Arabidopsis thaliana: one gene and its partners. The protein of the gene in region 1 purifies or fractionates together with the protein of each later gene. This does not show direct contact. Each region holds a gene or a part of one and is shown in the gene's direction. Other genes may lie near its edges. The genes, in order: AtCDC48B, Cpn60beta3, PBF1 and AT1G09640.

Evidence for each region.
Region 2: the proteins of AtCDC48B (region 1) and Cpn60beta3 fractionate together in Arabidopsis thaliana (co-fractionation; one large-scale study listed by BioGRID). This does not show direct contact.
Region 3: the proteins of AtCDC48B (region 1) and PBF1 fractionate together in Arabidopsis thaliana (co-fractionation; one large-scale study listed by BioGRID). This does not show direct contact.
Region 4: the proteins of AtCDC48B (region 1) and AT1G09640 fractionate together in Arabidopsis thaliana (co-fractionation; one large-scale study listed by BioGRID). This does not show direct contact.

What each region holds. Positions count from the first base shown.
Region 1 is NC_003074.8:19,720,078-19,728,534, forward strand, and holds AtCDC48B (ATPase, AAA-type, CDC48 protein), read left to right. Parts: upstream 1-3,272; 5' UTR 3,273-3,338; coding exon 3,339-3,367; intron 3,368-3,464; coding exon 3,465-3,630; intron 3,631-3,858; coding exon 3,859-4,087; intron 4,088-4,207; coding exon 4,208-4,974; intron 4,975-5,061; coding exon 5,062-5,637; intron 5,638-5,731; coding exon 5,732-6,412; 3' UTR 6,413-7,051; downstream 7,052-8,457. Other genes in the region: UMAMIT6 (nodulin MtN21 /EamA-like transporter family protein), read left to right, coding at 105-289, 373-435, 515-631, 768-1,170, 1,252-1,403, 1,498-1,687; AT3G53220 (Thioredoxin superfamily protein), read left to right, coding at 1,955-2,089, 2,195-2,220, 2,319-2,538.
Region 2 is NC_003076.8:22,872,070-22,880,421, forward strand, and holds Cpn60beta3 (TCP-1/cpn60 chaperonin family protein), read left to right. Parts: upstream 1-1,598; 5' UTR 1,599-1,802; exon of another isoform or gene 1,803-1,839; intron 1,840-1,975; 5' UTR 1,976-1,988; coding exon 1,989-2,192; intron 2,193-2,267; coding exon 2,268-2,393; intron 2,394-2,481; coding exon 2,482-2,619; intron 2,620-2,708; coding exon 2,709-2,804; intron 2,805-2,892; coding exon 2,893-3,135; intron 3,136-3,223; coding exon 3,224-3,458; intron 3,459-3,558; coding exon 3,559-3,728; intron 3,729-3,805; coding exon 3,806-3,883; intron 3,884-3,970; coding exon 3,971-4,042; intron 4,043-4,122; coding exon 4,123-4,227; intron 4,228-4,327; coding exon 4,328-4,420; intron 4,421-4,499; coding exon 4,500-4,592; intron 4,593-4,668; coding exon 4,669-4,795; intron 4,796-4,883; coding exon 4,884-4,897; 3' UTR 4,898-5,338; downstream 5,339-8,352. Other genes in the region: GulLO4 (D-arabinono-1,4-lactone oxidase family protein), read left to right, coding at 1-353, 450-551, 636-1,351. UniProt on the Arabidopsis thaliana protein: Involved in protein assisted folding.
Region 3 is NC_003074.8:22,470,094-22,476,878, reverse strand, and holds PBF1 (N-terminal nucleophile aminohydrolases (Ntn hydrolases) superfamily protein), read left to right. Parts: upstream 1-2,939; 5' UTR 2,940-3,069; coding exon 3,070-3,116; intron 3,117-3,250; coding exon 3,251-3,358; intron 3,359-3,830; coding exon 3,831-3,912; intron 3,913-4,020; coding exon 4,021-4,150; intron 4,151-4,235; coding exon 4,236-4,378; intron 4,379-4,477; coding exon 4,478-4,564; coding exon of another isoform or gene 4,565-4,568; intron 4,569-4,766; coding exon 4,767-4,841; 3' UTR 4,842-5,110; downstream 5,111-6,785. Other genes in the region: ARP7 (actin-related protein 7), read right to left, coding at 879-1,099, 1,185-1,368, 1,445-1,686, 1,935-2,076, 2,279-2,581; AT3G60810 (DUF1499 family protein), read right to left, coding at 5,123-5,176, 5,271-5,384, 5,464-5,556, 5,664-5,730, 5,820-5,942, 6,023-6,079, 6,164-6,300. UniProt on the Arabidopsis thaliana protein: Non-catalytic component of the proteasome, a multicatalytic proteinase complex which is characterized by its ability to cleave peptides with Arg, Phe, Tyr, Leu, and Glu adjacent to the leaving group at neutral or slightly basic pH.
Region 4 is NC_003070.9:3,117,127-3,124,666, forward strand, and holds AT1G09640 (Translation elongation factor EF1B, gamma chain), read left to right. Parts: upstream 1-2,612; 5' UTR 2,613-2,882; intron 2,883-2,990; 5' UTR 2,991-3,035; coding exon 3,036-3,044; intron 3,045-3,261; coding exon 3,262-3,411; intron 3,412-3,499; coding exon 3,500-3,560; intron 3,561-3,660; coding exon 3,661-3,713; intron 3,714-3,832; coding exon 3,833-3,934; intron 3,935-4,044; coding exon 4,045-4,534; intron 4,535-4,646; coding exon 4,647-5,026; 3' UTR 5,027-5,416; downstream 5,417-7,540. Other genes in the region: AT1G09625 (uncharacterized protein), read right to left, coding at 217-441; RAB11c (RAB GTPase 11C), read right to left, coding at 1,224-1,712, 2,281-2,445; AT1G09645 (uncharacterized protein), read left to right, coding at 6,029-6,110, 6,983-7,221. UniProt on the Arabidopsis thaliana protein: Probably plays a role in anchoring the complex to other cellular components.

The sequences.
Region 1 (8,457 bases):
TCTGTTTTTGTCGTTTTCAAGAAAGTCGCCACAAGAGATCATTCGAACTAAAAAAAGCAAAACAGATCTCTCCTGCCGTCTTTGGTTACTTCCGGCGGAGAACGATGTCTCCGATACCGGAAAGGGCAAAGCTTCACATAGCTATGGTGGTGTTTCAGACAGGCTACGCTGGTAATCACGTGATCATGAGATATGCTCTAAACTTAGGAGTAAGCAAGCTCGTCTTCCCACTTTACCGCACCATCGTCGCTTTCTCTGTTCTTGCTCCCTCTGCTTACTTCCTTGAAAAGTATAATTACACTTCTTTAAACCAAACTAAATCTTATATCTTCAATTCTTTAATTCTTGATATTATTTGTATATTTCTAACAGAAAAGAAAGACCGGCGATGAAAATCAGTTTTCTGATTCAATTCTTCCTTCTTGGACTCGTTGGGTATGATCTTGTCTTTATATCTTGGAGTCAAGATCAATGACAAAAAACTTTTGATTACAATACTCATTTTTGGTTATAGAATAACGTTAAACCAAGGATTTTACATCTTTGGATTGGACAATACCTCACCAACATTCGCATCAGCAACTGAAAATGTTGTTCCTGCTGTTTCATTCCTCATGGCAGCGTTGCTCGGGTATGTTCTTGATTCTTTATTGGAGATAACTTGGGAAACAAGATGTGTATCTTGCGGACCAATTATTGTGGACCCTCAAAGTGGGCTCTGATACCACTCATATCTCATTTTTATTATGACACACCAACAATTGTAGAATAGAGAAGGTGGAATGGAAGAGGAAAGATGGTATAGCCAAAGTGGTGGGGACAATTGTATCTGTCGCAGGCTCTTTGGTTATAACACTCTATAAAGGACCAACCATTTACCAACCGAGTCTGAATATAGTGAACCAAACTATTAAACCTGAAGAAGCAGAGGAAGAAAACAAGAACTGGACGTTGGGATGTCTCTGTTTGATGGGTCACTGTTTATGTTGGTCAAGTTGGATTGTGTTACAATCACCATTGCTTAAAAAGTACCCAGCTCGCTTCTCCTTCGTCTCCTATTCTTGCTTTTTCGCAGTGATACAGTTCTTTGGAATTTCGGCTTATTTCGAGAGAGATCTAGAGAGGTGGAAGATAATATCAGGAGGCGAATTATACGCGTTACTCTACACTGTAAGTGTTTGTTTATTTTCTTAGATTAAGACTCTTTTGAATGGTGTGATTGATTTTGGTGTGAGTTTGAATATATTTCAGGGTTTAGTTGGTTCAGCAATGGTGTTTGCAATACAAATATATGTAGTGGAAAGAGGAGGACCTCTGTTTGTATCAGCGTATTTGCCTCTTCAAACTTTGATTGCTGCTGTTTTAGCTACTTTAGCTCTTGGTGAACACTTTTACCTTGGAGGGTATGTTATCTATATGTTTTGACTCATTATGCGTTTTATTTTCATATCTTATAGTTAAGTTTCTTACACATTTTTTAATGTTTGTTTTGGTCAGATTGATAGGTGCAATACTAATCATGAGTGGACTATACTTAGTTGTGATGGGAAAGAGTTGGGAGAATCAAGCTCTTTGCCAACAACAACAACACATGATTTCTTCAGCAGCATCAGATTTTGGTGATGAAGAAGACTACCATAATAATAAACCAAGATCTCCTATTAGTCAACCATTAATTTCTTCCTAAATTTTGTTAGATCCTATTTATGTCTTAAATTCCTAGTTCCTACTCTCTTCCTCATTAAAATCGAAATGGACCCGGTTGACGAAATAGAGATAAAAATAAATTTGGTTAAAATCGGTTTAGAATTAAATCGATTGGTTTGGGTTTAGTGCCACAGTGGTTAGGTGAGTAGAGTTGTGGTTCGGTTCAGGTTATGATATTATAACCTGGAGGGATCAAAATTGGCGCTTTTAAAAACCAAACAAACAAAAACAGAGAGGAAACAAAAAAATGAGAAAGCAAGAATCAGAGGGAGCGAATCTTGAATTCGAATCCAAATCAAATGACAATGGAAATGTGAAAATCGCACCAAACGACCAAAGTTTCCTCACAATTCTTGACGACATAAAGTCTTCCAAATCTCCGGTTCTTACACACGACAACTTATACATTTGTACACGTTTTTAAGACCGAAGCTGGTTTTTTTTCGTAATCTGACTGTTCTTCTTGTTTTTGCTTTGTTATATTCAGGCTGTTATTAACTATGGAGCTTCTTGGTACACCTTATTCTCTGTTTTTACGATTACGCTTTTCATGCTTATAAAGTGTTCGATGAAATGCCTCAATGAGAACGGTTTTGTTTTGAAACTTTCAGGTGTGGAGTTTGTAGCCAGATTCTTCCTGCATTCCGAAAGCTCAGCAACAGTTTCTCGAAGCTCAAGTTTGTTTATGCAGATATCGACGAGTGCCCTGAAACCACTCGTCACATCCGTTACACACCCACGTTTCAGTTTTACAGAGACGGCGAGAAAGTCGATGAGATGTTTGGAGCTGGTGAACAGAGGCTCCATGATCGTCTTTGGCTTCACTCTTGAATATGTTCATCAAATATTAACTATGAAAATCTGCATTCCTTTTGTGATACTTTAAATGCCAACACAAAAAATACTTGGCTCTTCGACAATAATCCCCTGAATAAGTTTGGACTTTGGTAGATTAATGTTAGGGATAAACTTACAGAAACATCAAAGGTTAAACAGAGGATGGAGCTAACATTCATGATACAACTCTTGACAAATAAATATGAACACCGAGCTCCTCACGGCGGCTCTTTCCCTCTCAAATAATTTGGTTTAACCGGGTATAATGACCTTGAGAAACATTGAAGTCTCTAAATCACACTCTTGCCAATCTCAAAAGCACCAAGCTTCACCTCTAAACGGTTTTGTTTTCCAGGAATGAATTGGGTTAATGTAACTTTCTAATTTGGGTCAGGTTTGAGATTGGACGGTCTTCCACCACAAAAAATATCAACCATTAAAACTTTTATTGTTGCCCATTAAGACCGACCTTCTTTTCGTAATTTTTTTTTTAAAACGTAACTTTGTTGAATTTGTAAAAAAAATCTCTTGTGAAATTATCACAATGTTTATTCAAAACTAAATAAGAACATACTAGAAGCTTTTCTAAATTGGAAGATGTATAAAAAAAAAATAGAAGAAAAGAATAATAATAATGGAAAACAAATACTATAAAATAAACGTTTCTTTGATAACAAGAAACGGATTTGTCTTCTATATAAATAAAACACACACCTGTCTATTTATTTACACTTCTCGAATCTTCTTTTTCTTCTCTGCGAAGCTCTCTCTCTCTCTCTACTCGATTATCAAACATGGCGAATCAAGCTGAATCATCTGATTCGTAAGTACTTGTTAATTACTGAGTAACTCTTTAAGGTTTTGTTAGTCTTCGTGTTGGGGTTTTTCTAATTCTATTTTTTTTTCTCTGAATATCTCAGGAAGGGGACGAAGAAGGATTTTAGCACCGCGATTCTGGAGAAAAAGAAGGCAGCGAATCGTTTGGTTGTGGATGAAGCCATTAACGATGATAACTCCGTCGTTTCTCTTCACCCTGATACCATGGAGAAGCTACAGCTTTTTCGTGGTGATACTATCTTAATCAAGGTTTGATTTTTGAATTTTAAGGCTCTTCTTCTCTTGTTTCCTTTACTGAATTAGGGTTTATAAGGTTTTGTGATTGTTCATTGGTTTGCTGCTAGGGTTTATCAGAAGGGTTGTTTTTTGAATTAGGTCTTTCAATTTTCATGCTTTTGTTTTGGGATAGTTTCTTTGAGTTGTGTGTATTTACATCTTTGTTTTCTCTCTTTTTGTTTTGGGAATCTGTGGTTGCAGGGAAAGAAGAGGAAGGATACTGTGTGTATTGCTTTAGCTGATGAGACATGTGATGAACCAAAAATTAGAATGAACAAGGTTGTTAGGTCTAATCTCAGAGTTAGGCTTGGGGATGTTATTTCTGTTCATCAATGTCCTGATGTCAAGTATGGGAACCGTGTTCACATCTTACCTTTAGATGATACCATTGAAGGAGTAAGTGGCAATATATTTGATGCATACCTTAAACGTAAGCGTTTTCTCTTCCCTGTTTTTGTCATTTAAGTTGTGCTCTGCTTATATGCTTCTTGATGTGTTCTGTTTTTATCACAGTAGTTTAATGTCTGTTTTTTTTATTTTTTATTGCCAGCTTATTTCTTAGAGGCATATCGTCCGGTGAGGAAGGGCGATCTTTTCCTAGTTAGAGGAGGGATGAGAAGTATTGAGTTTAAGGTTATTGAAACTGATCCTGCTGAGTACTGTGTGGTTGCTCCAGATACAGAAATTTTCTGTGAAGGTGAACCGATAAAGAGAGAGGATGAGGAGAGGTTGGATGAAGTTGGGTATGATGATGTTGGTGGTGTCAGGAAACAAATGGCTCAGATTCGTGAACTTGTTGAGCTCCCATTGAGGCATCCACAGCTCTTCAAGTCTATTGGTGTGAAACCTCCCAAAGGAATCTTGCTCTATGGCCCTCCTGGTTCTGGGAAGACACTTATTGCCCGTGCTGTTGCTAATGAGACTGGTGCATTTTTCTTCTGTATCAATGGTCCCGAGATCATGTCGAAGCTAGCTGGTGAGAGTGAAAGTAACCTCAGGAAAGCGTTTGAGGAAGCTGAGAAGAATGCCCCTTCGATCATATTCATTGATGAGATCGATTCGATTGCTCCAAAAAGAGAGAAGACTCACGGAGAAGTTGAAAGACGGATTGTATCCCAGCTCTTGACACTTATGGATGGTCTTAAATCCAGAGCCCATGTGATTGTTATGGGAGCTACCAACCGTCCCAACAGCATTGACCCTGCTTTGAGAAGATTTGGACGTTTTGATAGAGAAATTGATATTGGTGTTCCTGATGAGATTGGTCGTCTTGAAGTTCTCAGGATTCACACCAAGAACATGAAGCTTGCGGAAGATGTAATGTTCTGTTACATATAATTATTTTCTTCTTTTCTTTTACCTTTTTCTATTTGTTTAGATCTGACATTATTTTCTCTTATTCAGGTTGATTTGGAAAGAGTATCTAAAGACACCCATGGGTATGTTGGTGCTGATCTTGCAGCATTATGCACTGAAGCTGCTCTCCAATGCATTAGGGAGAAGATGGATGTAATTGACCTAGATGACGAGGAGATAGATGCTGAAATTCTCAATTCTATGGCTGTCAGTAATGATCATTTCCAGACTGCCCTTGGTAACAGCAATCCTTCAGCTCTACGTGAGACTGTCGTTGAGGTGCCTAATGTGTCTTGGGAGGACATTGGTGGTCTTGAGAATGTCAAGAGGGAGCTCCAAGAGACTGTTCAATATCCAGTGGAGCATCCTGAGAAATTCGAGAAGTTTGGGATGTCACCGTCTAAAGGAGTCCTATTCTATGGCCCCCCTGGTTGTGGAAAGACCCTCTTGGCTAAGGCTATTGCGAACGAGTGTCAAGCCAACTTCATTAGTATCAAGGGTCCTGAGCTCCTCACAATGTGGTTTGGAGAGAGTGAAGCCAATGTGAGAGAGATATTCGACAAGGCACGACAGTCTGCCCCTTGTGTTCTTTTCTTTGATGAGCTGGACTCCATCGCCACTCAGGTATTGTACTTGGTTTCTTAATCTCTCTACTTAGGCAACTTATGCCCTTTACCTTTATCTCAGAAAAATTAATGAACATCTCTTATAATAACAGAGAGGGAACAGTGTTGGAGATGCTGGTGGTGCAGCAGATAGAGTATTGAACCAGCTTCTTACGGAGATGGATGGAATGAATGCTAAGAAGACGGTCTTCATCATCGGAGCTACAAACAGACCAGACATTATTGATCCTGCACTTCTGCGTCCTGGTCGTCTCGATCAGCTCATCTACATTCCTCTTCCTGATGAGGAGTCTCGTTACCAGATCTTTAAGTCTTGCTTGAGGAAATCACCTGTGGCGAAAGATGTTGACCTGAGGGCTCTTGCTAAGTACACCCAAGGCTTCAGTGGTGCGGACATCACAGAGATTTGCCAGCGTTCTTGCAAGTATGCGATCAGAGAAAACATCGAGAAGGATATTGAGAAGGAGAGGAAGAGAGCAGAGTCGCCAGAAGCAATGGAAGAGGATGAGGAGGAGATTGCAGAGATTAAAGCTGGTCACTTTGAGGAATCCATGAAATACGCTAGGAGATCAGTGAGTGATGCAGACATTCGCAAGTATCAGGCTTTTGCTCAGACTCTCCAGCAATCACGTGGGTTTGGAAGCGAGTTCAGGTTTCCAGATGCGCCGACAGGGACTACTGGAGCTTTCCCTGGAGCTGCTGCCACAGTTGGGGGAGTCGACCCGTTTGCCACATCCGGAGGAGCAGCGGATGATGATGATCTCTACAGTTGAAAGGTCTGATCAGACCCTGTGACTACTCTCTTTAGTCTTTAACTTTGTTCTGCTTGAAAAACTTTCGATGGTCTTTGTTGTGTTTTATTTATAAGTCTTTTGTATATAATCGTTGAGACTCTAGAACAATGATGGTGTCATGATGAAATAAATCTAGAGAAATGAGAACACTGCATTCATCCCAAAGGAAACCGGATATACATACACAGATTTTGCGAGTACACAGATTCTACACCCTAACTAGAAAGAATCATCAAACTGATGTAATTGTTGAAATATCTTCTTTATATAAAATAGAAGTGCACAGTTGAGATCTCACGAGTCTCTCTCTCTTTATTTATTCTGGAAGCGGAACCAGACTTGGAACGTAAACAAAGTTAACACAATAGTTAAGTTCATCTTCACCGCTAAAGGGTTGTCCTGTCTCAACTTGTTTTCTGATCTCATCCAGACCACCAATTTGGTACAAGCTGGTTCAAGCATAATCCTCTCCTGCAACTTTATTGCAGCATAAGGCCTGTATCTGTTATGTATCAAGATTATAACAAAAATAAAGACGATGTCAAATTTTGTTCAAAAAGAGTCCAACTAAAAATTCCTCAAATTTTTCACTCATTTACATTGTTTACTTTTGCAAGTTATGAAAATCGCTCTATAAAACCTTTTTGCACTTAGTAGAAGTCCTTTTACAAAAAAAAAAGTTAAAAACTTTGTGTTTTTTTTCTTTCTTTTGGGTGACATTGTGGGTAATTTACTTTTCGAGTTTGTTGTGCTCATCTCTCAAACATATCTCATTTGGACTCTTTTGATTATTGCAAATATTAATTATAAAGTCTTCATGATAAATCTTATGAATTTTGTTATACAGATAGAATCATTTGTGTAACCTGAGAGAAGGTTGAGAATATACACTTCTTTTCTCATTCTTCGTGATTGTATCACATATAACAGTTTTGTAATTGTAAGATTATATACAAACATACACACATAAATACTTTATTTGTTTGTTAATAAAAGATTGATGTTTTGGACTTTTTTAATTAACCATGCGTGATCTCGTGCATCTAGATTCTTTTCCGCAAGATAAGTCATCCTCACAGTAAAGTATGTATATCAGTATATACAGTTATGCACCACTACTACACAAGAAACAAACTTATGATGAGTGAGACGATCGCACAATCACGATCCTTGTCAGAAGGACCATCATAGCTAGCGTCTAATATTGTCATCATATACAGTACGGAACTACAACTAGGCCTAAAATCGACGCAATAAATTACCTTTTAAAGTAAAAAAATGCATGATCATTTCATCATCTATAACGATTGTTCTTAACGCTCAAACGACCACGTCACGGTAATCCAAAATCTTGTTTTCTATTCAAATTAAAAACTTATACTAAAGCATAAGTCTCTGTACAAAATCAAGTTAGCTTGCACGTTACGATATATTGGCATATTGGTTTTGACTGGAGAAACATAGCAGAATTTTTTTCAAAATGGAAAATTTTTAGTCACCTTGAAAATCTTATAAGATTTATACTTTAATTTATAGAGAAAAATATGCATGTGACACACGAAAGAGGACGGTCTTGGGGTTGGACTTGGCCCGCTCTCTTGGATAAAATCTACACAAGCCGCACGTGGGAAGTCTACAAAGACTGCTACAAAAGACACCACCTCGTGGGGGGTCTAGCTCATAAACTGATCACACGCGAGCACAAAACCTTTTTATGTTTATTATTATCTTTTTGGATGTTTATTGTTAGAAAACCTAATTATGTCATCTAAATGGATGAGTAATTAGTTGTAAAAAAAAAATGGATGAGTAATTCACTAATAGATACAAATTATACATAACTTAATTAACGGAATGCAATATATTATACAACAATGGTCAATGAAAGTTCAAGGAGTGAAGATATTGGCATTATACTGTATTGATACTATTGAATATGATAAATTGATGGAAATAGATGGAAATTGATGGAAATAGTCATGAGATTACAAAAATCATAAATTCGAAAGAAGAAAATGGAGGCA
Region 2 (8,352 bases), on another chromosome or scaffold:
TGGGTATGTAAAGGTTCAGGTTCTTAGCGAGACTATAGATCCGGAGGAATTTCGCGCAGCCAAAGTTTCTCTAGGTGTTCTTGGTGTTATCTCTCAAGTAACTTTCGAATTGCAACCAATGTTCAAAAGATCGTTAAATTATGTTATGAGAAACGATTCGGATTTCGGAGATCAAGCAGTGAGTTTTGGCGAAAGACACGAGTTTGCGGATTTCTTATGGTTACCGAGCCAAGGAAAAGTGGTGTATCGCATGGATGGCCGAGTTCCGCTTAATACTTCGGGAGATGGCTTGTTCGAATTTTTCCCATTCCGTTCACAACTCTCTTTAGTGTTAGCCATAGATAGATCCTTAGGTAAATCTTTATTTCTCAAGATAATTAATACCAATATTTTTGATTTGCATAGCTATAATGTTTCTTATATATATACTTTTGCTTCATGTCATGCAGAGGAGAGTGAAGAGTCACTTGAAGATGCAAACATGAAGTGTGTGAGGGCAAAGCTAGTATCGTCGTCTATGTTTTTAATGTCATACGGTGTGACTAATAACGGTATTTCTTTTACTTGCTTATACATTTGTTGATTGTTTCGATATAAGATTATACAAAACTTTCACTAGTAATTTCCATGGACAGGCCTAATATTCACAGGCTATCCGGTCATCGGAATGCAAAACCATATGATGTCGTCAGGTTCATGTCTAGACAGTCGTCAAGACGGACTAATCACGGCTTGTCCATGGGATCCACGGATAAAAGGCCAATTCTTTCACCAAACAACATTCAGTGTTTCTCTCACAAATGTCAAAAGTTTCATCAACGACATCAAAGCACTTGTGAAGATCGAACCGAAATCTTTATGCGTACTTGAAGGCAGCAACGGTATTCTCATCCGCTATGTCACATCCTCTCTAGCATTTCTCGGAAAAGAAGAAAAAGCTTTAGATTTTGACCTAACTTACTACAGAAGCAAAAATGATCCATTGGCACCGCGTCTATACGAGGATTACATTGAAGAAATCGAGCAAATGGCGATATTCAAATACAATGCGTTACCACATTGGGGGAAGAATAGGAACCTAGCGTTTGATGGTGCCATTAGAAAATACAAGAACGCAAACGCGTTTTTAAAAGTAAAAGAGAAATTTGATTCTTTAGGATTGTTTTCCACTGAATGGACTGATCAGATTCTAGGTTTAAAAGGAAACGTGACGATTGTGAAACAAGGATGTGCATTGGAGGGACTATGTATTTGTTCAGAGGATTCTCATTGTGCTCCTACCAAAGGTTATTTATGTAGACCAGGTAAAGTTTATAGAGAAGCTAGAGTTTGTACTCGTGTAAGTTCCTAAATCCTAATCAAAGTTTTGGTCCTCAGTTCTGTTATATATCAAAAACCTCATTCCTCTCTCTGCTTTAAGAGAACAGAGCAGTCTCTGTTCATAATTGACAAGCGAAAACGACGTTGTATTGAATTCGTGACACGTGTCAAACAATGAGTAGTTAATCAAAGTGTCACTCGCACGTGAAGAGAGTAGAGTAGGTGGGTTTAGGGTTTAAGTGTTCCAGATTCTTCCAAATTCAGTTGATCCAACGGCTCAGACTTAACCTGAAACCTTTGAAGACGCGATCCTCGAACTTCACCAGTCCGTTTGCACTATGCAACCAAACACACTTTGTATCGAATAAATTAAACAAAAATCATAACTTTACAATCGCATAAATCGACTTTCATCTTCTTCACAAGAAAACCTCTCTCAGTCGCTAAAACCCTTGAACCATCTCTTGATCGCTAGCTTCTAAGTAAGTGTATAGTTGAATCATTTCGATCAAAGTTTAGGTAAAAAGTTGTTTGCTTTCAGATACCCTTGTTTTGATTTGTGTCGATGATTACAAAGTTTTACTTTGATTTGTGTCTTTAGGGTTTATTAGATTCATTCAAGCTATAAAGTTTTGATTTTGATCTGTTTTTGCAGAGAGTGAAAAACCATGGCATCAACCTTTAGCGCAACGTCGTCAATGGGTTCATCTTTGGCTCCTCCTTCGAATCGATTGTCATCTTTTGTTTCGATCTCATCAAGCTCTTTTGGAAGGACTCAGAGTATTGCTCAGAGGAAAGCAAGGTTTCCTAAAATATATGCGGCTAAGCAATTGCATTTCAATAAGGACGGGACTGCGATTAAGAAGCTTCAAGTGAGTCTATTCTATTTCGGTGATTTTGTGACTTCTAGTTCTTTATTGAATAACTTATATCATTTCATTATGTAGGCTGGTGTGAATAAACTTGCGGATTTAGTTGGGGTTACTTTAGGTCCTAAAGGCAGGAATGTTGTTCTAGAGAGCAAATACGGTTCCCCTAGAATCGTTAATGATGGTGTTACGGTCGCTAGAGAGGTAACGGTGTTATCTCTTGTTGTGTCTAATGTGTAATCAGGTGTGAAATCGATTTGTAGATTTTGAAAAGCTTTTGCTGTTTGTTTAGGTTGAGCTTGAGGATCCAGTTGAGAACATTGGTGCTAAGCTAGTGAGACAAGCTGCTTCCAAGACTAATGACTTAGCTGGTGATGGAACAACGACTTCTGTTGTTCTTGCTCAAGGTCTTATTGCTGAAGGTGTAAAGGTTTGTAATTTATTGTCTTTCTTTTGTGAATTTGAAACAACCAGTGTTTTTTGTTGTTGTTGTGATATGATGTGGATTGAATTGTGTAGGTGGTAGCTGCTGGTGCAAATCCTGTTTTGATTACCAGAGGTATTGAGAAAACCACCAAAGCTCTTGTGGCTGAGTTGAAGAAAATGTCAAAGGAGGTATTGTTGACTTAATTAGATTCTTAATCTAGCTCTTTTCATGTGCTTTAGAGGATTCTTGATCATGTAGCTCTTTTCTGGATTGCAGGTTGAAGACAGTGAACTAGCAGATGTTGCAGCAGTTAGTGCAGGAAACAATTACGAAGTAGGCAATATGATTGCAGAAGCAATGGCAAAAGTTGGTCGTAAAGGTGTTGTCACTCTAGAGGAAGGCAAAAGCGCTGAGAACAGCCTTTACGTTGTTGAAGGAATGCAATTTGATCGTGGTTATATCTCTCCTTACTTTGTCACCGACAGTGAGAAAATGTGTGCAGAATATGAGAACTGCAAGGTATTATTATTGTTTATACAGTTAAATCTTAATAGCTGATAAAAAACCGCAGTATTTTTTGACTATATGTCTCTTCTTGCTTTTGTAGTTGTTTCTTGTTGACAAAAAGATAACAAATGCTAGAGATATTATTAGCATTCTGGAAGATGCGATTAAAGGTGGATACCCGCTTTTGATCATTGCTGAAGATATTGAGCAAGAGCCATTAGCGACTCTTGTTGTTAACAAGCTTCGTGGGACAATAAAAGTTGCTGCTTTGAAAGCTCCTGGATTTGGAGAGAGGAAAAGCCAGTACCTTGATGACATTGCTGCGCTTACAGGAGGTTAGACCAATATACTAAGTGTTCTTTACATTATTGCTTCTATATTAAAAAAAAGCATGTTTAGTTTCTCAAGTTGCTGTGTTTGTTTTTCTCTTTGTAGCTACTGTGATTAGGGAAGAAGTTGGACTTCAGTTGGAGAAAGTTGGACCAGAAGTTTTGGGTAATGCTGGTAAAGTGGTTCTCACAAAAGATACTACAACGATAGTTGGTGATGGAAGTACTGAAGAAGTTGTGAAGAAGAGAGTTGAACAGATCAAGAATCTTATCGAGGTACATCTCAAAAAACATTGAAATGTCCCAATAAATTGGTTTTATGTTACGGTGATTAAGTCTTTGGGTTTGTGTAGGCTGCTGAACAAGACTATGAAAAGGAAAAGCTTAATGAGAGAATTGCTAAATTATCAGGCGGTGTTGCTGTAATTCAGGTGAGATACTAAGAAACAAATCACATGATGCAAAAAGCGTAGCTTAAGGTAATAAGAAGAATAATCTAAACGTTTTATATTCTTTAGGTTGGAGCACAAACTGAGACAGAGCTTAAGGAGAAGAAATTAAGAGTTGAAGATGCTCTTAATGCTACAAAGGTAACATCATCTCTAAGCAAAGAGCCTTGAAATGTTTCCATCCATATGGTAGAGACTAAGTTGTTGGACCTTTTAATTAGGCTGCTGTGGAAGAAGGTATTGTTGTTGGCGGAGGATGTACTCTGCTAAGACTTGCATCGAAAGTGGACGCTATTAAAGAGACTCTAGCAAACGATGAAGAAAAGGTTAGTCCAGAAGAGTTGCACAGCAGAGAAAGATAACATGAATGAGGAGTTTGCCGTCTGCGGGTTATAACGCCATTTTACAATTCATCTTAACCTCCAGGTTGGAGCTGACATTGTTAAGAAAGCATTGAGCTACCCACTGAAGTTAATCGCCAAGAACGCTGGTGTCAATGGCAGCGTTGTCAGTGAGAAGGTAATCAATCTCCTTAAAAGAATGCAAGTTTGAGTCTTTTGATATAGAAACTAAGTCAATGGCTTTTTTCGGTTGACAGGTTCTTTCTAGTGACAACCCTAAACATGGTTACAATGCTGCAACTGGCAAATACGAAGATCTCATGGCTGCAGGAATCATTGATCCAACCAAAGTGAGCAAAGTTCCTTACTTTTTCACATATTGAAATCTGCTGTTTCGGGTGCTAACCGAGTTTTCTTCTTTTCAAGGTTGTGAGATGTTGCCTAGAGCATGCTTCATCTGTGGCAAAGACATTCTTGATGTCTGATTGTGTTGTTGTGGAGATCAAGGAGCCTGAATCAGCAGCTCCTGCTGGTAACCCTATGGACAATTCAGGTATCTCTTAGTTCTTCTTCTTGAATCCTCTGAATCATTAACAAAATCTGCAACTTTATTCTTACAAAATTTCTCTGTCGGTTTTCAGGTTACGGCTTCTAAGTTGGCAATTGAGAACAGAGTAGTCCCTGATGAAGCAAAAGCCACGACCAAGTTCTTCACTTCCTGATCTGAAACTTCTTTAAGCCAATGTAAATTATATGTTTTTCCAGTGACCTGAAGAAACATATAATTTGGTTCTGTGTTCTCCGATTCAAGATCAAGTTTTTCAATATGACAACTTCACTAAAGAGACACAGTTTGCAGTGCTCAATAGACTTGATTTAGTTAGTATCATTTTCTTTATTTCAAATTAAAACGAACGAGGATATGCACAAAATCATGAGCAGCAACAAGCCAACAACCAAGCACAATACTAAATTACTACTTTGTTTGTGGTTTTTTGTGGCCTCCATAGCCAATATCTTGATACTTTAAAATTGTAATCTATTTAATTAGTTCAACAATTCTCTTTACCTGAGCATAGACTATGACATAATGTGGAGTATATTGTCTATTACTTTAAAACTTTAAAATGTTCCCCAAACATTAATTAAAAAGACTACCAAGTAAACATCTGTAAAGCTGAGAAGTTTTTTTCATTTTGTATGATCTATACTAAATTTAACAGAACTATTATTGATGATATGTTTTTATATATATGAAATTTGGAGAATTTGTAAAAATCAACCATTTCTAGTGCTTATACTAACAATCCACATCATAATCTTTATTTCTTGTTCGTTCATCGATCTTTTTTTTTTATAAAACCACATTAGTTGAGTTTCAGAGTTGTCAGCAAACTGAAGAAAGATAGTAAAGTAAGTGATCTTCCTAGTAATTTCTTTACAACTTTTTGGTTTATTCTTCAATATATACAAAGTAATAATCGAGGAGAGAAATTTTCTAAGAGCATTTTCAAAGTCAATCTTACTTTAAAAGCTTCGAGTGGGTTCCACTATAACTCTGAGTCTCTGACACACACTCTTTCGTAACCTTTTGTTGTTTTTTCGGGTTTGTTCATAACTTTTTTTTTGTAAACCAAATTTAGAGTTTTAAAGTTGATGATGAACCTACGCAAACGCAAGAGATAGCTACTTAGTTGTCTTCCTTGAAATTTCCTTACTAACTTTTGTTTTCTTGTTCAACCTACCAAAAAGATTTGATGGGAAAAAAAATTATACACTTTTAAGAGCATTTTCAAAGTTAATCATACTTTAAAAACTGCAAGTAAAGTTATACTAGTTTTGCAAAGACATGAAACGATTCTAGCCACATATTTTCTTCTATTTAAACGAATTTAATCGTTAGTGTGAATTATAGGACATATCTATTGCAGATCCTAGAGCAACCCATTTCAGTTCTCTTAGTTTTAGTTATAATCATACTACCATAGCTTCAAGAGGCAAAAGCCACCACTAAAGTTTTCGATGTCCGATTTAAACACACATATTTATCAATGTAAATTATATGTTTTTACTTCTGGTGACTTGACGATGAGAGTTAAAATCTGGTTGGCTTGAGAAAATTATAGTTCGGTCGTGTTATCCAGATCGAAACAAGTGATATTTGAGCTGAGAATTGCATTGAACGTTTTAAGCTTGTAGATCACGTGTGAATGGAGAAGATGTTTGATTGGAATAAATTGATAGACTGTGAGCTATGCAAATTAGGGTTCCAGTTGTGCTTGTCACCATTCGCTATCTCTATTTTTCTTTTCGTCTTCAAGAAGAATAATATATTAATAAAATAAAAAAAATTGACGGCCGAATGATTTGATTGATTTTTATATATTTATATTTTATTTGAAGTATAAAAGCTTAACCTACTTCAAAGGAATCTGTTAGTTCGAATTTACTCACGATACTGTTATTCAAAAAGATTAAAAATTTGAAAAGAATCCGTCAGGTAGTTTCCTAAATCCTAAGTTATTTTCTCATGCAATTAACAAAAACAAAAGGTTTTCTCAAGACTTTACTCTTCTATTTTTAGAGATGTTTACGATTTTTATTTATTCCTCTCAGAACTTACAAATTCGTATAAATTATATTCTTTACTATTTACTCAAAAGAGTGAAACACTACAAATAAAGATGCTCCAACTAGATAATGGATTTAAGGTAAAAGGCAACAATTTAGTAGTCTTCCTAGAAACTTCTTTTCAACATTTGATTTATTAGTGCGTAGCAATTTGTTATGAGTCATTTTATCGAAATCGAGACATTCAAAAGTGAAACGTCAAGAGAGAGTTTGAATGGTGGTAATAAAAAACCGAGTGAGAGAAAGATTTGTTACATGGAGATTAAAGTTTGAATAACAATTAGCAAAACTCATTCATTTTCAACTAATTGTATGAAATGTTTAAATTATTTGTCTGAATAACATAATGATTACCAAACAAATAAATAAATAAACTAATTATAAATTAAAATATTTAAATTCTAAAATGATATGTTATAAATATAATTTTTATAAATTATAAATGACATGGTCTAAATACTTTATTTGTTATAAAAAAACAATATATAAGGTACATGCATACTCTCATCTCCTAGGAACCCTTAATTTTTCTACAGGTTTAATTGAGTCAAATCTAAATATTTAATGCATGTTATTGATAAGAAAAAGATTATATATTAACCTATAAGTGAACCTGCTAAAAAATGTGTGTTCTCACATCTTTCAGTCATTCTTAGATTTTTTACAAATTTAATCATTATAATCAAATCCGATGCAATGCATGCATGTAATTTTTTTTTGTCAACAGTTTTTATTTAGAGTAAATACAAAATTAAAAACAATATATAATAAAAAAGTGACTTAAAGATGTGATAACACGTACTCTCTCTTCAAAAAAGAATGATGTTTTGGTTTTTCACACAAATTAAAAAAAAAATCATTTTTATTATCTCTTAATTAGTTTAAATAAATATATTTCACTTCTCTCTTCTCTATCGATCACAAAAAATAAAAATAAAACATAATCTTTATCGAATAAAAAAAACTCAACACATCAATCTATTAACAAAAAAGAGAGTATTTTTTAGCTAGTTATCACATCTTTGGATAACTATTATTTTTTTCATTTTAAGAGTGAAAAAATCATGTTTTGCATCTTAGTAGTCAATAAATATCAATCCCATCTTAAAAAGTGTGTGATCTTTTTATGTTTTTTGATAAAGTGTTTAATCTTTGAATCAACGCATATCTTTATAAATCTGTATCACATCCATAATAGTCAAGTAACAAATATTGGTGGTGATGATACGAACAAAAAAAAGTACGAATGACAAAAAAAATATGCTCGTGGGAGATACAATACAAAGGTTAATGCTATAATTCCTAAATTAATCACATTAGAAACCTAATTAATTACTAACATACGTTATAACACGTGTATACATACATAAACTACGCGTAAAACACATAAATGTAGAGAGAGGGAGATATAGAAAAGAAAACAGAGAGGGCATTAATAAAACGAAAGAAAAAAAGGGACAGAAACGTACCCAAAGAAGA
Region 3 (6,785 bases), 2.7 Mb from region 1:
CAAAAGAGTTGTTTCAACAACACCGTATCTTTAGGTGGTTAACATTGATTCGTTTGGGAACATTTTCGAGAGATGCGTTTAATACAGTGAGATTGGGTGGTTTCCTTTACTTGTGACGTCAACAGATGGTTACTATTCTGGTGGTCACAGACCTTATAAGTGAGTGAATTTTGTTTCTGTTCTTGAACGTTAAAAAATGAGTCTTGTGAAAGAAGGTACTACTACTTCTTCTGAGTTTATATACGTCACCAATTTAGAATCTAACGGGTTGCGTGCAAAATTTCAAGAATTAATAGTTTTTTTTTAATTATGAAAAAAAAATCAAGAAAGTCAAAGAAAATCTACTAATTATCTTTCCATTTTAAATTTCACTAATTAAAAACTTTTCCGATTATATAGATGAGAGAAGGGATGAGATAAGCTAACAACAAGTAACAAGGTAAAGAGGCAACCAATTTACAAAATAAAAAAAATTGAATTCTGTTTAGACATTAACACTGACCCTTTCCTTCTCGAATTTCAGCAAACAACACCAACAAAACAAAAAGGGACTGTGTTATTTGATTGTACAAGTACTAAAGATCTCAAAACAAAATGAAAAAGAGGATCTTGGCCATTCTCTGCATCAAAACCAAGAGTTTCACTGGTTACATATCTGCAAAACCATTTAGAGTTCCACTGACAATGGGTGTGTGTTGGCATTGGCAAAGTTACCTTGTCAATGTTTTCAGAAAAGGGCTCATTGAACACATATTAGTCGATATTTGGAAGCCATAATTTGAAATGTACTACATAATCTGGTCCACATCTTCAAACCAAAGCCAACCAAAAAAAAAATCCTCAGCTACAACAACAACATCGTTTTATAGTCTATGGTTTCAGAAACATTTCCTGTGAACCACTGATGGTCCAGTCTCGTCATAATCTGCTTTAGTAACGTGCTGATTCTGCGGAAACACCACTTTAGCTAGTATGGCTCCTCCAACCCAAGCCGAATACATCCCCAAATTCTCCGGCATATATTCTGGCGGTTTCACCAGTGTTGGCCTAATGGCAGATGAGCACAAGTTTGCTTCTTTCTGGAATCTACTTTCGAATCCTGCCATCGACCATTCCAACAAACCCTTCAGTTTTCCGACCCAAAAGATATTCAAACACACTATGATATCAAGTGTTGTTAGTACCTGTCATGGAGGTTGTACCACCACAAAGTACAGTGTTCTCCAAGAGCTGCCTATGGTTCTCAGATGACACTGTGGAGATAATCCGGACAAGCTGCTCAACGATTCCATGCTCCTCCAGTCCCAGTATTGATGGCTGAAACAGAGCTTCTCCAACCGAGTATCTCTCTCGCCCGATGCTTATCACCTATAAGGCCATTGGTTTTGTTATCTATATGTATAAGGTAACAACACAAAATGTAGAATCTTGATTTCACACAAACCTGTCCATCAGGAAGAGTATGCTGCTCGATTTCACAGTTTTGGGTTTTTTTGTAAGCAATTTCGTCCTCGGCACAGTTTGCATACTGCTCCTTGAGTTTTTCAACATCAGACATGCTGAGATTCATCGACGGGTTGGTTTTTCCAAGCTCTTGGGCAAATAATTTAGTTAGCTCGGTTCCACCTAGCTCAAACCGTTTCGAGGCAATGTGTTGTACTGCACCTTCAAGAACTGGGGCAATATCTGAAAAGAGTTGGATCAACCACAAAGTTAAAACATCAGACATAACAACATCCTGATCATATCCAGCTATAAACACAAGAAGAATCCAAAAAAAATTGGTTTAACAAAACGTTTAAGATCATGGAAAAAGGTTAGTATAGGGAATCAGCATCTCATGTAACATCATAACTCACATAAAACATGGAATTATGAGTTTATGACAAAGTGAAAGACACAAAGAGTAACAAAGGCCAAGCAAGTTATAATACCTATCTTCCCATGACCAATATCAACAGTGCAACCGGAGATGCGTCCAACAGCATAAAGGGACAACACTGCTTGCTCAGATGCATAAAATCCAGAGACATTGAATGTTTCAAACATCAACTGCACCAATTGCTCCCTAATAGCCTGTCCACAAACAAACATTTGCAGAGCCAAATCAGGTCGAAACATTAAAAATAACAACGTCTTACTATCTAAAATGAGGTACTAAAAGAACAAAATTGTTCCTTTTCATAATCCAACAGAACAGGATTATGGGAATTGAAAAGAGACTCAAAGTTGTAATCTTTTAAATTAAGAACAAAGGAGGAAATTTGGAGATAAGAACCTTAGGAGTACAAAGTGGATCTGTAAAAAGTATATTGCCTTCGTTTCCCTCTTCCCATCCAAGCCCAGTGTAGACAACATAACGCAACAGATCTTCCATAGCATCCCAATCTCTAATCAAACCCCTTTCAATAGGATCAAGAGTGACATCCTCAAAGACAGTGGTGGGGTTATCAGCTGAAGAAGACCCATCATCAACCATTCGTTTCATTTGAGAGGGAATTATCATTGCAGGAGACTGGTCAGGAATTGCTGCTCCTGCTTTCAGGAACTTAGAGCCAGCATCAACAACTAGTGCTTCCATTGTTTTCACACACACACCCAAAAACCCTAAATTCCCAACTTTCCACAAATGCCAAGATTTAGTGGTAGCAGCAAGTCAGTGAAGCTAGAGAAGTAGAAATGAGAGAAGGAACTAGAGTGAGAGGCAAAAGAAAGAACGGTTTTTTCGAAGAACAAATCAATGGTCTAGAAGGGAAAATGGAAGCAGCTTACGAGTTTGCGTTGAGAGAGAAAATCGAAGACGAAGAAGAAGAAGAAAAGAAAAGAAAGATTATTTCTTTGGAATTCAAAGCCCAAATAAGGCCCATTATAAAGCCTATTACAGCCCGTAATTTCCACGTCCAAAACGGTATTGTTTTGAGTCTCCGTCTTTTTCTTGTTAACAAAGCCAGAGCTAATAAGATCCGATTCGGAAGTTTCTTTGACATCAAAACACAAACCCGGAAAGCTTCGTCTGCCATTTTTCATTCTTCTAAGCCCTAGCTCAAAGCTTTCTCTCTCAAATCCGCCATGACTAAACAGCACGCGAACTGGTCTCCTTACGATAACAATGGAGGGTACGGATCGTGTGACCTTTAATCAACCTGCTGGGTTTCTTCGCTTAGTGTCTTTCTTCTTTATTCTGATTTGCTATCTGGGCGATTGTGTTACGATTCACTTACTGTGAATTTAATCGTTGTGTGTTTTTCAGAACATGTGTGGCCATCGCTGGATCGGATTACTGTGTTATCGCCGCCGATACTCGGATGTCTACTGGTTACAGTATTCTTAGTCGCGATTACTCCAAAATCCATAAACTGTAAGTACCCATTCTCTTTCTTCTCTCACTGTTGATTCTTTGGGAGAGTGATTCCATGCTGGCAATCGAACTATTATTGCTGTAGATTATTAGGGTTTTTTTGCAATCGTAATTCGTAGATCTGGGTGAAACCAGTTATATATGGGTGGAGATAAAATAGGTTTCTTAATTATTATTAGACATGGCTTTTGATAGTGGTTACAATTATCTCTATATAAACTTTGTGATTACATTGATCATTCTATAATCCGGTTTATTGCTTAGCTTATTCGTTTTCTTATAACGTTTATTGACAATGTGTGTAGTTCTTTGAGTTTGTTCAACCTTACGTAAAGAGTGTTTGTTACTGTGTTGTTGATCTTATATACCACAAGTATTCATTCGTATGGAAATAGATAGAATTCTCGTGTTTTTCATCTTATGTAACTTGTAAGACTCTTGTTAAGCTGTTGTCTTCTTTTAACTTTTCCAGAGCGGACAGAGCTGTTTTGTCTTCCTCTGGCTTCCAGGCTGATGTGAAAGCTTTGCAGAAGGTTCTCAAATCCAGACACTTGGTGAGTTAAACTTTGGTCGTTTGATCAATTATCTTTCATCCTTCGCAGTATTAGAAAATGATGAAAGACTTGTGTAAGAGTGTTTTCTCTGTGTTTGGTTTCCTTCAGATCTATCAACATCAGCATAACAAGCAGATGAGCTGTCCTGCAATGGCCCAGCTTCTCTCCAACACGCTTTATTTCAAGCGGTTTTTCCCCTACTATGCCTTTAATGTTCTAGGAGGGCTTGACGAGGAAGGTAAAATGCTCCTCTTTTTTTCTCCGTTATGATGTGACTTTAGAAGAGGGTACTTTGTGTGATCTTTAGTCTTGAATATATCCAGGAAAAGGGTGTGTCTTTACTTACGACGCTGTTGGCTCATACGAGAGAGTTGGATACGGTGCTCAAGGTTCTGGTTCCACACTCATCATGCCTTTCCTTGACAATCAGCTCAAGTCTCCAAGTCCTCTTTTGCTACCTAAACAGGTTTGTTGATATTCTTCATTCGTGCTTTTGGCGTTTCGCATTGTAAAGATAAAATGAATCGTTCTGTTGCTTATTTGTTCGTCTTCTGCCACCATGTAGGATTCAAACACGCCCCTTTCCGAAGCTGAAGCAGTTGACTTGGTTAAAACTGTTTTCGCATCTGCCACAGAGAGGGATATCTACACTGTAAGTTGTCCTATTTGTGTCTTCTTTTGTCACCACGCCACCTAAAGCTTGCCTTTGTGCTCATATCATTTGCATTTGGTTCAAGTCTTCAAAATATTACCAAAACATTTACTTAATCTATATCCCTTACGTTGCACAACTACTTCATCTTCCTCAAGTTTTTTTCTCTAACTAATGCTTTGTGGATTGTTTACTGTAATAGGGAGACAAGCTTGAGATTATGATACTTAAGGCCGACGGTATCAAGACCGAACTCATGGACCTGAGGAAAGACTAAGCTCCTTTAGTGCATTTAGCCAACCTTATCGGTTTGTTATTTCACTTCAACATCGAGCTTCCTGAGTTGTAGAACTCGTATGAAATGCTACTGGGTTTGATATTTTACAGTTAAAATCATGACTCGTGTTTGAAGTTTCTCCAAAACTGTTTCCTTATGTATGAGAATCACTCGAATCCTTGTCTTAAATCAATGTTTCTCTCACTATTTATGGCAATGTTTTTACATAGATCACATTAAGATATTTAATAGACAAGAATAGAATCTGGAAACTCTTTTCTTCAGAAGCTGTTCTCTGATACCCATCCCTTCTTCTCTAGCTCTTGTCGCAATGCCTCCATAGGTAAAAAATGAAGAAAAGTGTGAGCATATTATCTATTAGCCAGTGGCAATAACAGAGATATATCACTTGAGTATCCGAGTTGTTACCTTTATTCGCTTTCTATTGACATCAAAGTCGAAGTTCCCTTTACGGGATGCAGATCGATATTCCACTTTCGAGTTCTTCCCAGGAGTGAACAAGAATTCAACATCGTCTACTAACTGTCAAAAACCAAAGGGTCTTGTCCAATATATTGAGGTATGGAGGTTGAGAGAGCAACATAAAGCTTACTTAACTTACCCCCAAGATTGGACTTTCATATTCCACATGAACGTAGTCATCCTTCTTCTCCACAATCCGCGGTGTAAATTTATCCGGTTTCACCGACTTAATCTGCAACAATGGTGATAAAACCGCTGTAACTACTGGAAGATTACAAGAACTTCAAATGGTGACTGGATTCATATCTTGAGATTGCAGTTCATGTTTAAGGATTGTACCACATTAAGAAGCTCTTTCATTGCAACTTGCCTGTTCACAGGTGTTTTCCTTCCTCCATTATAGTTCCTGCCCACCAGGACAACAAGACAGTGTTTGATGATCAAACATTTCAAACCAGAAGACCCAAATCTGAACACAAAAAGCTCTTGAATTACCATGGTGGAGCATAATGCACTCGATCACTGATATTCTCAGAAGTGGAGATACAGTTATTAGTGGCAGGACATAGAGCCAATCTCTCGTTCTTTTGTACTCCTAGATAATCTGGTTTTTTCCCACTAAAACCACTCACAAATATTTCATCATCATAATAACACCTCAGCCGTGGGGATGTAGAATTCCGGTGAAGAAAACATACCTAAGCTGGAATATGGCTCCGATCATAGCTAATTCACTGCTCCTAAGAATGATATCTCTTCCAATTTCACAAAGATCTCAAAATCAGATACTTGGTTCGGTGATAAACACGAGCACAAGCAGGAGAGAAAGAGACTAGTACCTTCGACCAATTAGCTTCGGATGTTTGTCATATGAAGTCTCTGGAATCGAGGCACTGATACGACGGGCATAGAAAACAAGTTTTCTCCGGCATTTGTGGTGGTACAAGCAAGTGGTCGGTGACGCCATGGAAGCCATCTTCACTAGCTCGGATTTCTCTTTACTCTTTGGAGTAAGAGAAGAAGAAGAAGAAGTTTGTTACTTCTTACAGGGCTTACTACTATCAATCTATTATTGGCCCATTGGAGTTTTACTCGTTCGTTCAGGAGCCCAATAACAGAAAACCCACATATAACTACCAAACTGATATGATAGGATTTTTTTTTTTTTATGATAGCTGTAAAATGTTGTTAATAGGTACACCAAGTTAATTAATAGCGTAATGTAGAAATATTTTCAAGAAGCCCGTCTAGCTCAGTTGGTAGAGCGCAAGGCTCTTAACCTTGTGGTCGTGGGTTCGAGCCCCACGGTGGGCGATTTGTTATTATTTTTTTTCATTTTTGTTTTTTCCTTCACTAGTCAAGTGTCAAGTCCTTTGAGAAATAAAATCATCATACCAGGGTTACAAAAAAAAAACCTTCAAAATGTCAGTTGGTAACATTTTAAACCTCTAAAGAATTCCA
Region 4 (7,540 bases), on another chromosome or scaffold:
TCTCGACTTTGGTTCTAGAGAATGTGATTGATTAATCCTTTCAATCTTTCATCAACACCACACAACATGTTTAGTTAGTTATGATAAGATAAAGAAACCATACATAGATAACATCTTTCAAACTCTTTAGATTCTCAAGAGTCTAACCTTTGTTAAAAATAAGAAAACTATATGATAAAAACAAGGGATGCAAAACAAATATATTGAAAATTTTCTTCAAACGAGATTATTATTTGGCTTAGCTTGTGCCTTCTCGTTCGTCTTGCTCTTACCATCTTCTTTCACTGGATCCTTCTTCTCCAAAGTTACAGAAGACGACGCTTTACCATCTTCTTCTATCTCAAGAGGTTTCGAGCACCACCTATCGAGCAAATTGCATAAAACCGTCACCATTATTATTCCTGCGACGATAATACACCATCCCCAGATTGGGATCTCCATCTTTTTTATGTATTTGTTTTCAGTGACAAAGAAACAAAGTAAATTGTTTGTTGATGATTACAAGTTGCTTAAAAGTTGTTGATATTATAGGAGGCGGGAACTACTCGAAAGACTTGGAAATTTACCATTTTGACAAAAAACTTGCTAGAAAATAACTAAAATAAAAGTAAATCATTCTTCTAATTTTTTTCAATTTATCAACTTTAAAAGTATATTTCCTTTTCTTCATAAATCTCATAAACTAGCAAAAAGATAATGTCATAAACTAATACTATAAAATATATATTTTGTTTTTTTTGTTCCGTCAAATATATATTTTTGGTTTTGCCTGTATTCTTGTTGACTTCCGTTTTTTTTTTCCCCCTTTTTTTTAATTAACTTCCTTTCTTTGCTTTTCCATTTCTTCTTGATTGAAAAATGTATATTGTGTGATTTTGTCTACTTTATTTAAATTATCTTTGAAATCGAAGAATTTCTGCTCTATTAAAAATTCAAACTATAGTCTACGTTGGTATTTGTTTATTTCATTTTATACTCTGCTTATTTTTCTGATACTACATTACAACTACCACTCAAAACTACAATTAATTCCCTAAAAATATTTTTCGTTTCCAAAATTTGTTTTGTGTGAACGATTCCGAACTCCACAATTGATATAAAAAATTATCTTTGAGTTATATTATCAACAACAGAAAAAAGAAAGAAAACAAATACAACGCAAGCCTTGAAATAAAGTCTCATAGATATTTGGCTTTTTTTAAGTGCAACACAAACAAAGCCTTTCAAGACGATGAGCAACAAGGCTTCTTAGCGTTTGATTCAGAAGTAGCAGCCACATCAATTGTTTGGCCTTCCTTGATGTTGGCATTTGCAGTTGTCTGGTCTGAAGATATCGACTTCTTGCTGATGATCCTATAAACCTCCGAGAGAATCGTCTGAAAAGCCTTTTCTACGTTTAATGCCTCGAGAGCCGATGTCTCGATGAAAGATAAGCCTTCTTTCTCTGCATAGCTCTGAGCATCCTCTGTGGCAACTGCTCTGAGATGCTTCAGATCTGTCTTGTTCCCAATCAACATGATCACTATATTGGAATCTGCATGGTCTCTTAGTTCTTTTAACCACCTGCTTACATTCTCAAACGTTGTTGGCTTGGTGACATCATAGACCAAAAGAGCTCCAAGTGCACCTCTGTAATAGGCGCTAGTTATGGCTCTGTATCGTTCTTGCCCAGCCGTGTCCCATATCTGAGCTTTCACAGTCCTTCCTTCCACCTTAGAACAAAGATCATAGGTTTTTTAATAGGTTAATTCAGATCTAATGAGCAGCAGACTCTATGATTAGTGTGTCTGCAACAACAAAATTAGTAACTTCGCAGCTAAATTCCACAAACAACCCAGTAAGAAAACTAGAAACTGTGAAACAACAACCATGATTCATACTTCAAAAGAAAATCATGTTCGAGATCAATTTCAGATGAAGAGATTCTTAGATCTGCCTTAAACAAGGTTTTAGATCTGACATGTGAGGGAGCCTTACACTACCACGTACCAGAGTATCGACAAATTTGGGAACATTATCAATAAAACGCTTAAATTAAGAGATACCAAAGCAAAAATCTCGACCAAATGAAAAAAACAGGCACCACACATGTAAACATCAAAATTCAAAACCAAGCCCAAATGTTCCTACACACAATGACTGCTTCCGAGTATTCATACGAACACAGATACGGATCGAATCGAAAAGCACCGGATGCTGCTTAACTTAGAACTAAACCTAGATCCAGCAACATTTCGATTACACTATATACTATATATATAGAGAGAGATGTGTGCGTACTTGGAGAGTACGAGTAGCGAATTCGACACCAATGGTGGATTTGGATTCTAAGCAGAACTCGTTGCGAGTGAATCTAGAGAGGAGATTAGACTTGCCGACACCGGAGTCTCCGATCAAAACCACTTTAAACAAGTAGTCGTATTCTTCGTCCGGTCTTCTCGCCATTGTTACACTTTTCTCGAGGAGTGCTTTAGATTTGGGATTTTGAAATAGAAAAGGAGAAGATGACAGAAATAAATAAATAATTTAATTTCTCTTTCCCCTTGGATCTTCTCTATTCAACCTTCTCGGCTTGTTATTGCCCAACGACGAAGACCTTTTCTTGTCAAGTTGGGCTTACTAAAAAAGCCTACATATATGTAATTCATTTATACATGCTAATAAAAGGGAAAGTAATTAGAGCTTAACCGGAAAATAAACAAAAATCAGAAATAAAACCAAACAAAACCGAGCCAAACCAGAGGAATACACTCAATACAGATTTTAAAAACCCTACTTCTTCATCATCATCCCTTCAACACTCCTTTATAGCTTTTCTCCGCCTCAACTTTTTGCTTCTTCTCTCTCGATTTGCTCTCACGGAAGATTCTTCAGAATATCTGGTAAGATCCATCGATCGAACAATCTTTTTTTCTCCAGTTAGCTCATATTCATATTTATGATCATGTCAATTGCGAGCTCACTGCTTGATTTTTTTTCCTTGGAACCAGATCCGATATCAGAAGCCCCAAGTTCGCTTGAATTCCGTCTGAGCAATGGCTTTGGTGAGTTCTCTATGATTGTCTACTGTTACGATCGCATCATGTATCGATATAATTGTAGAAACGTTAGATTTGTAAATTTTAGGATCTAAGTTTATAGAACGATTGTTCATACACCAAATTGATTAAAATTATGTTAGTTTGGATATGTAGCTACTCTATTGTTAAGTTATTGATTTGGAATACGTATTATTGTGCTGATGATGAATTACGATTGCAGGTCTTGCACACGTACAAGGGAAACAAAAGTGCTGAGAAGGCACTCATTGCAGCAGAGTACGTTGGTGTGCAGATCGATGTGCCCTCTGACTTTCAGATGGGTGTCACTAACAAAACCCCTGCGTTCCTCAAGATGAACCCTATTGGAAAGGTTTGTCATCACTGGTGTTTGCTAAATTTCTGGACTGAGTATTATTAAGTCTATTTTTCAGCTAACCAAGAGTTATTGATCTTGCTAGGTTCCTGTACTTGAGACTCCCGAGGGTTCAGTATTTGAAAGCAACGCAATTGCCCGTTATGGTAAAGCATTCATAACTTTCTCCTTTAATTGTCTCTCAGTGTCTAGTTTGATTGCTTGTTGTCGTTTGGGTTTAATGGATCTGTTGATATCTCAATACAGTAAGCCGATTGAATGGTGACAACTCTTTGAACGGATCCTCCCTGATCGAATATGTAAGTAGCTGTTTTTTCCCTGGGGGCTACTCTTCTCTAATCCATTGACACCTCTTCTATTGTTTGTCATTCTATTTGTTAGTATTCTCAATGGTTATCTGCATGTTGTTTTTTCGCAGGCACAAATTGAGCAATGGATTGATTTCTCTTCATTGGAGATCTATGCAAGTATCTTGAGGTGGTTCGGCCCAAGAATGGGCTTTATGCCATACAGTGCTCCGGTAAGCTTTTTTGACTTTCATTGGTTGTTTCATTCACTCTTTGTGATGGCAATCTAGGTATTCTTTTCACTATATAAATAGTCTCATCCGTGATTGTTATATAAATGAAGGCTGAAGAAGGTGCGATCTCTACGTTGAAGAGAGCACTTGATGCTCTGAACACACATCTCACGTCTAACACTTACCTTGTCGGACACTCTATTACCCTTGCTGATATCATCACTGTCTGCAACTTGAACTTGGGATTTGCTACTGTCATGACCAAGAAATTTACCTCTGAATTTCCTCATGTTGAGAGGTACTTCTGGACTGTGGTTAACCAACCAAACTTCACTAAAGTGTTGGGTGATGTCAAACAGACTGAAGCTGTCCCTCCTATTGCTTCCAAGAAAGCTGCCCAGCCTGCAAAGCCCAAAGAAGAGCCTAAGAAAAAGGAAGCCCCAGTAGCAGAGGCACCTAAGCTTGCTGAAGAGGAAGAGGCACCAAAGCCCAAAGCCAAGAACCCTCTTGACTTGCTACCACCAAGCCCTATGGTTCTAGATGATTGGAAGAGGCTTTACTCAAACACCAAATCTAACTTCCGCGAGGTTGCTATTAAAGGTGTGTGGTGATATCTTCCTCTACCTAGTTTTTCAGCTTTGCTATCAGGGAATTATTTAGCTATTGGAATCAATTGTTTTTTATCATGTCTAATATTGTGGCTCAAATGCAGGATTCTGGGACATGTATGACCCAGAGGGATACTCACTATGGTTCTGTGACTACAAGTACAACGATGAGAACATGGTGTCATTTGTCACGCTCAACAAGGTTGGTGGGTTCCTTCAGCGTATGGACTTGGCACGTAAATACTCCTTTGGAAAGATGCTGATTTGTGGGTCAGAGGGTCCGTTCAAGGTGAAGGGTTTATGGCTGTTCCGTGGACCAGAGATCCCAAAGTTCATAATGGACGAGGTGTACGACATGGAGCTGTATGAGTGGACTAAGGTTGATATCTCAGATGAAGCCCAGAAGGAGCGTGTTAGCCAGATGATTGAAGACGCAGAGCCATTTGAAGGTGAGGCTCTCTTGGACGCCAAGTGCTTCAAGTGAGAAGAGAGAATGGTTTGGTACTTCCATTTACAGGTTTTGCAGCTGGGGCTTTACATATCTTTCTATCTGTCTGTCTCACATAGGGGTTTTGCTCTGTGACGTGTCGCATAGACTGTTTTTTTCTTTTCTAATCGAGTGTCAAGGACAAGTCTTTTTAGTTCTTTGTTAATGTTTCGCCTCCGTCCAGAATTGTTTACTATACCAGTTTTCGAAATCCTGACCGGCCAGTCTACCCTGGCAATAGGCAATACATGGTCTGGTTTATTTGTTTTACGGTAATTTTGCCTTGATTGATTTTCTTTGACGCGTTTCGGTCAACTTATATACATTGGTCTTTGAGTTGAACATTTAGTGGTAAAGTCTTTTTGGCACATATATTGAACATTTTTCCAATTTTAAAAATTGCTGAAAAAGCAAACTCTTGAAGAATAATAAGTCTAGTTAATTTCGTAGAAGAAGAACTGGCATGTTCATCTCGAAATTAACTAACGAATAAAAAAAGGTAGACAACTTAATACGCCACACAACTCTAATAAAAGAACATGTAACTTATGACAAAATAATGTAACATTTGTTCATAATATTTTTCGTATCAGATTATATATACAAATTGCTGATTATAATTATTATTCGCTGTTTGACCAAAAAATAAAAAATTATTGTTTCGCTGAGAAATGTATAGATAATTATATTATACGTTAGATTGGTAACTACCAAAAATATTACTATATGTTAGATTGGTCACAAAATAAGAAAAGAAAGGTAGTGTATATCAATTTATTAATGACGTATTTAATAAAGTTGGTCTCAAGCGAAATGAATTGTTCTTTACTGCTACAAGGCATATAATCCTGTAAAGAAAATCTGGGTGGTCGAATTGTTCTTTTCCCTTTTTCTAATTTCAACATCAAAAGTTGTTCCACCAGAAGAATTTGTTCTCTGCAGCAGTAAAGATCGATCCGTTCTTGCTTACAAGCAGAAAAATCATATCGACAGAGAGAGATGAGACAGAACTCAGCAACTGGTGGTCTTTCATGGCGGCGTTTACTGTTCTTCGCTTCGATTGGTTTGCAGTTCTTCTTAGGTTCGTCTTCTTCAGATCTATCTGATTTCATTTCACTTTTTTGTAGAATCCTCATCTGATTTAGTATTCCTTTGGGATTTTAGGTTCTCAATTCGCTAGATTTATGTTATATTTAGCTCAACTTGGCTCTTTCTAAATACTACAGTGTGTTTAATCTTTACGCATTAGGTCTTTTGCGATCAGGATCGAAACATGCAGATAGGAAGATTGTATTTCTCTTTTGAGTAGATCTTGGCCAAATCACTAACTTTGTGCTTAACATGTTAGTGAAGAGAAAATAAGCAAAGAGGATTTTACCGTTCAGTTCATGGGTTTGGTGTGGTTATAGTTTCTTTTACTAACTTCACTGGATAATAGTTGTTTACCTTTGTCCTAAATGCGAGACCATGTCCTGATTTGAAGAGGTTGTCTGCAAAATCTATTGCTTTTGTGACAAGTATTTATATAATTCCTCAGTTGTTTCATGGTGATGCTGCAGTTGACTAATGAGATATGTATTTACTTGTTGCCTATAGTTTTCAGACATTTAAAGTTCTTACATAAGCTATTTATACAATTGGCCACCATGTGCTTTTAAAAGAAGTAGGCTCATCTCTTTCTCTTTCCCGTAAATTTCTTTAAATGCATGTTGCAATTGATCTTGTTCTCTGTTGTCTATGTGTGTAGCTGTTGTTGTTCCCCTTTAGTCGAATATAAGAAACATGGTAACTATTTGAGGATAGACTGTGTAGCTTTAGCTGACTAGTGAGTGTCTACACGACAAGATTTTACAGTCACGAGTGCACTTGAGGACACCATAAACCTTGATTTTTTTTTGTTGTATATGCTAAGAGGGCATCTAGTAACTAAGTCTTCTGATATGATATTTTCAGGTCTATCGGGTGATTCCAAGAACACGAATGCAGGAGTTAAGACAGAATCTCATACTTCTTCCAGCAAAACAGGCACAAAAGTTATCCTTGTTCTAGTTGGATTTGTGGCTGTGGCCATGTTCTCGTTCTTCCTATACAAGCTATGGCAAAAGAAGAAAAGAGACGAGCAGTATGCTCGACTGTTGAAGCTGTTTGAGGAAGATGATGAACTCGAGGTTGAATTAGGTCTTCGAGATTAAAAACGCAAATTTGTCAACAAAGGCCTCATGTTTGTTTGTGTTCGTTTGTCTGAGCATGTAGGTGGAACTTATCACTTATGGGTATTTAAATTTGAAGTATATATATACGCATACTTTGTTGGGCTAGTAACTGATGTAGCTGTCTTGTCACTAATCATCATCAGTTCATCAATTATCCTCTCCAGACGATTGTTTTCCAATGTTGTACAATTCATTTTTCTTTCTTTCACTTTTTTTTGACAAATAGCGTGAGTTTAGGTTCTAAACAAATTCGATGTAAGTTTAGGTTCTAACCCTCTAGACAAATTAGTTAAGAGAT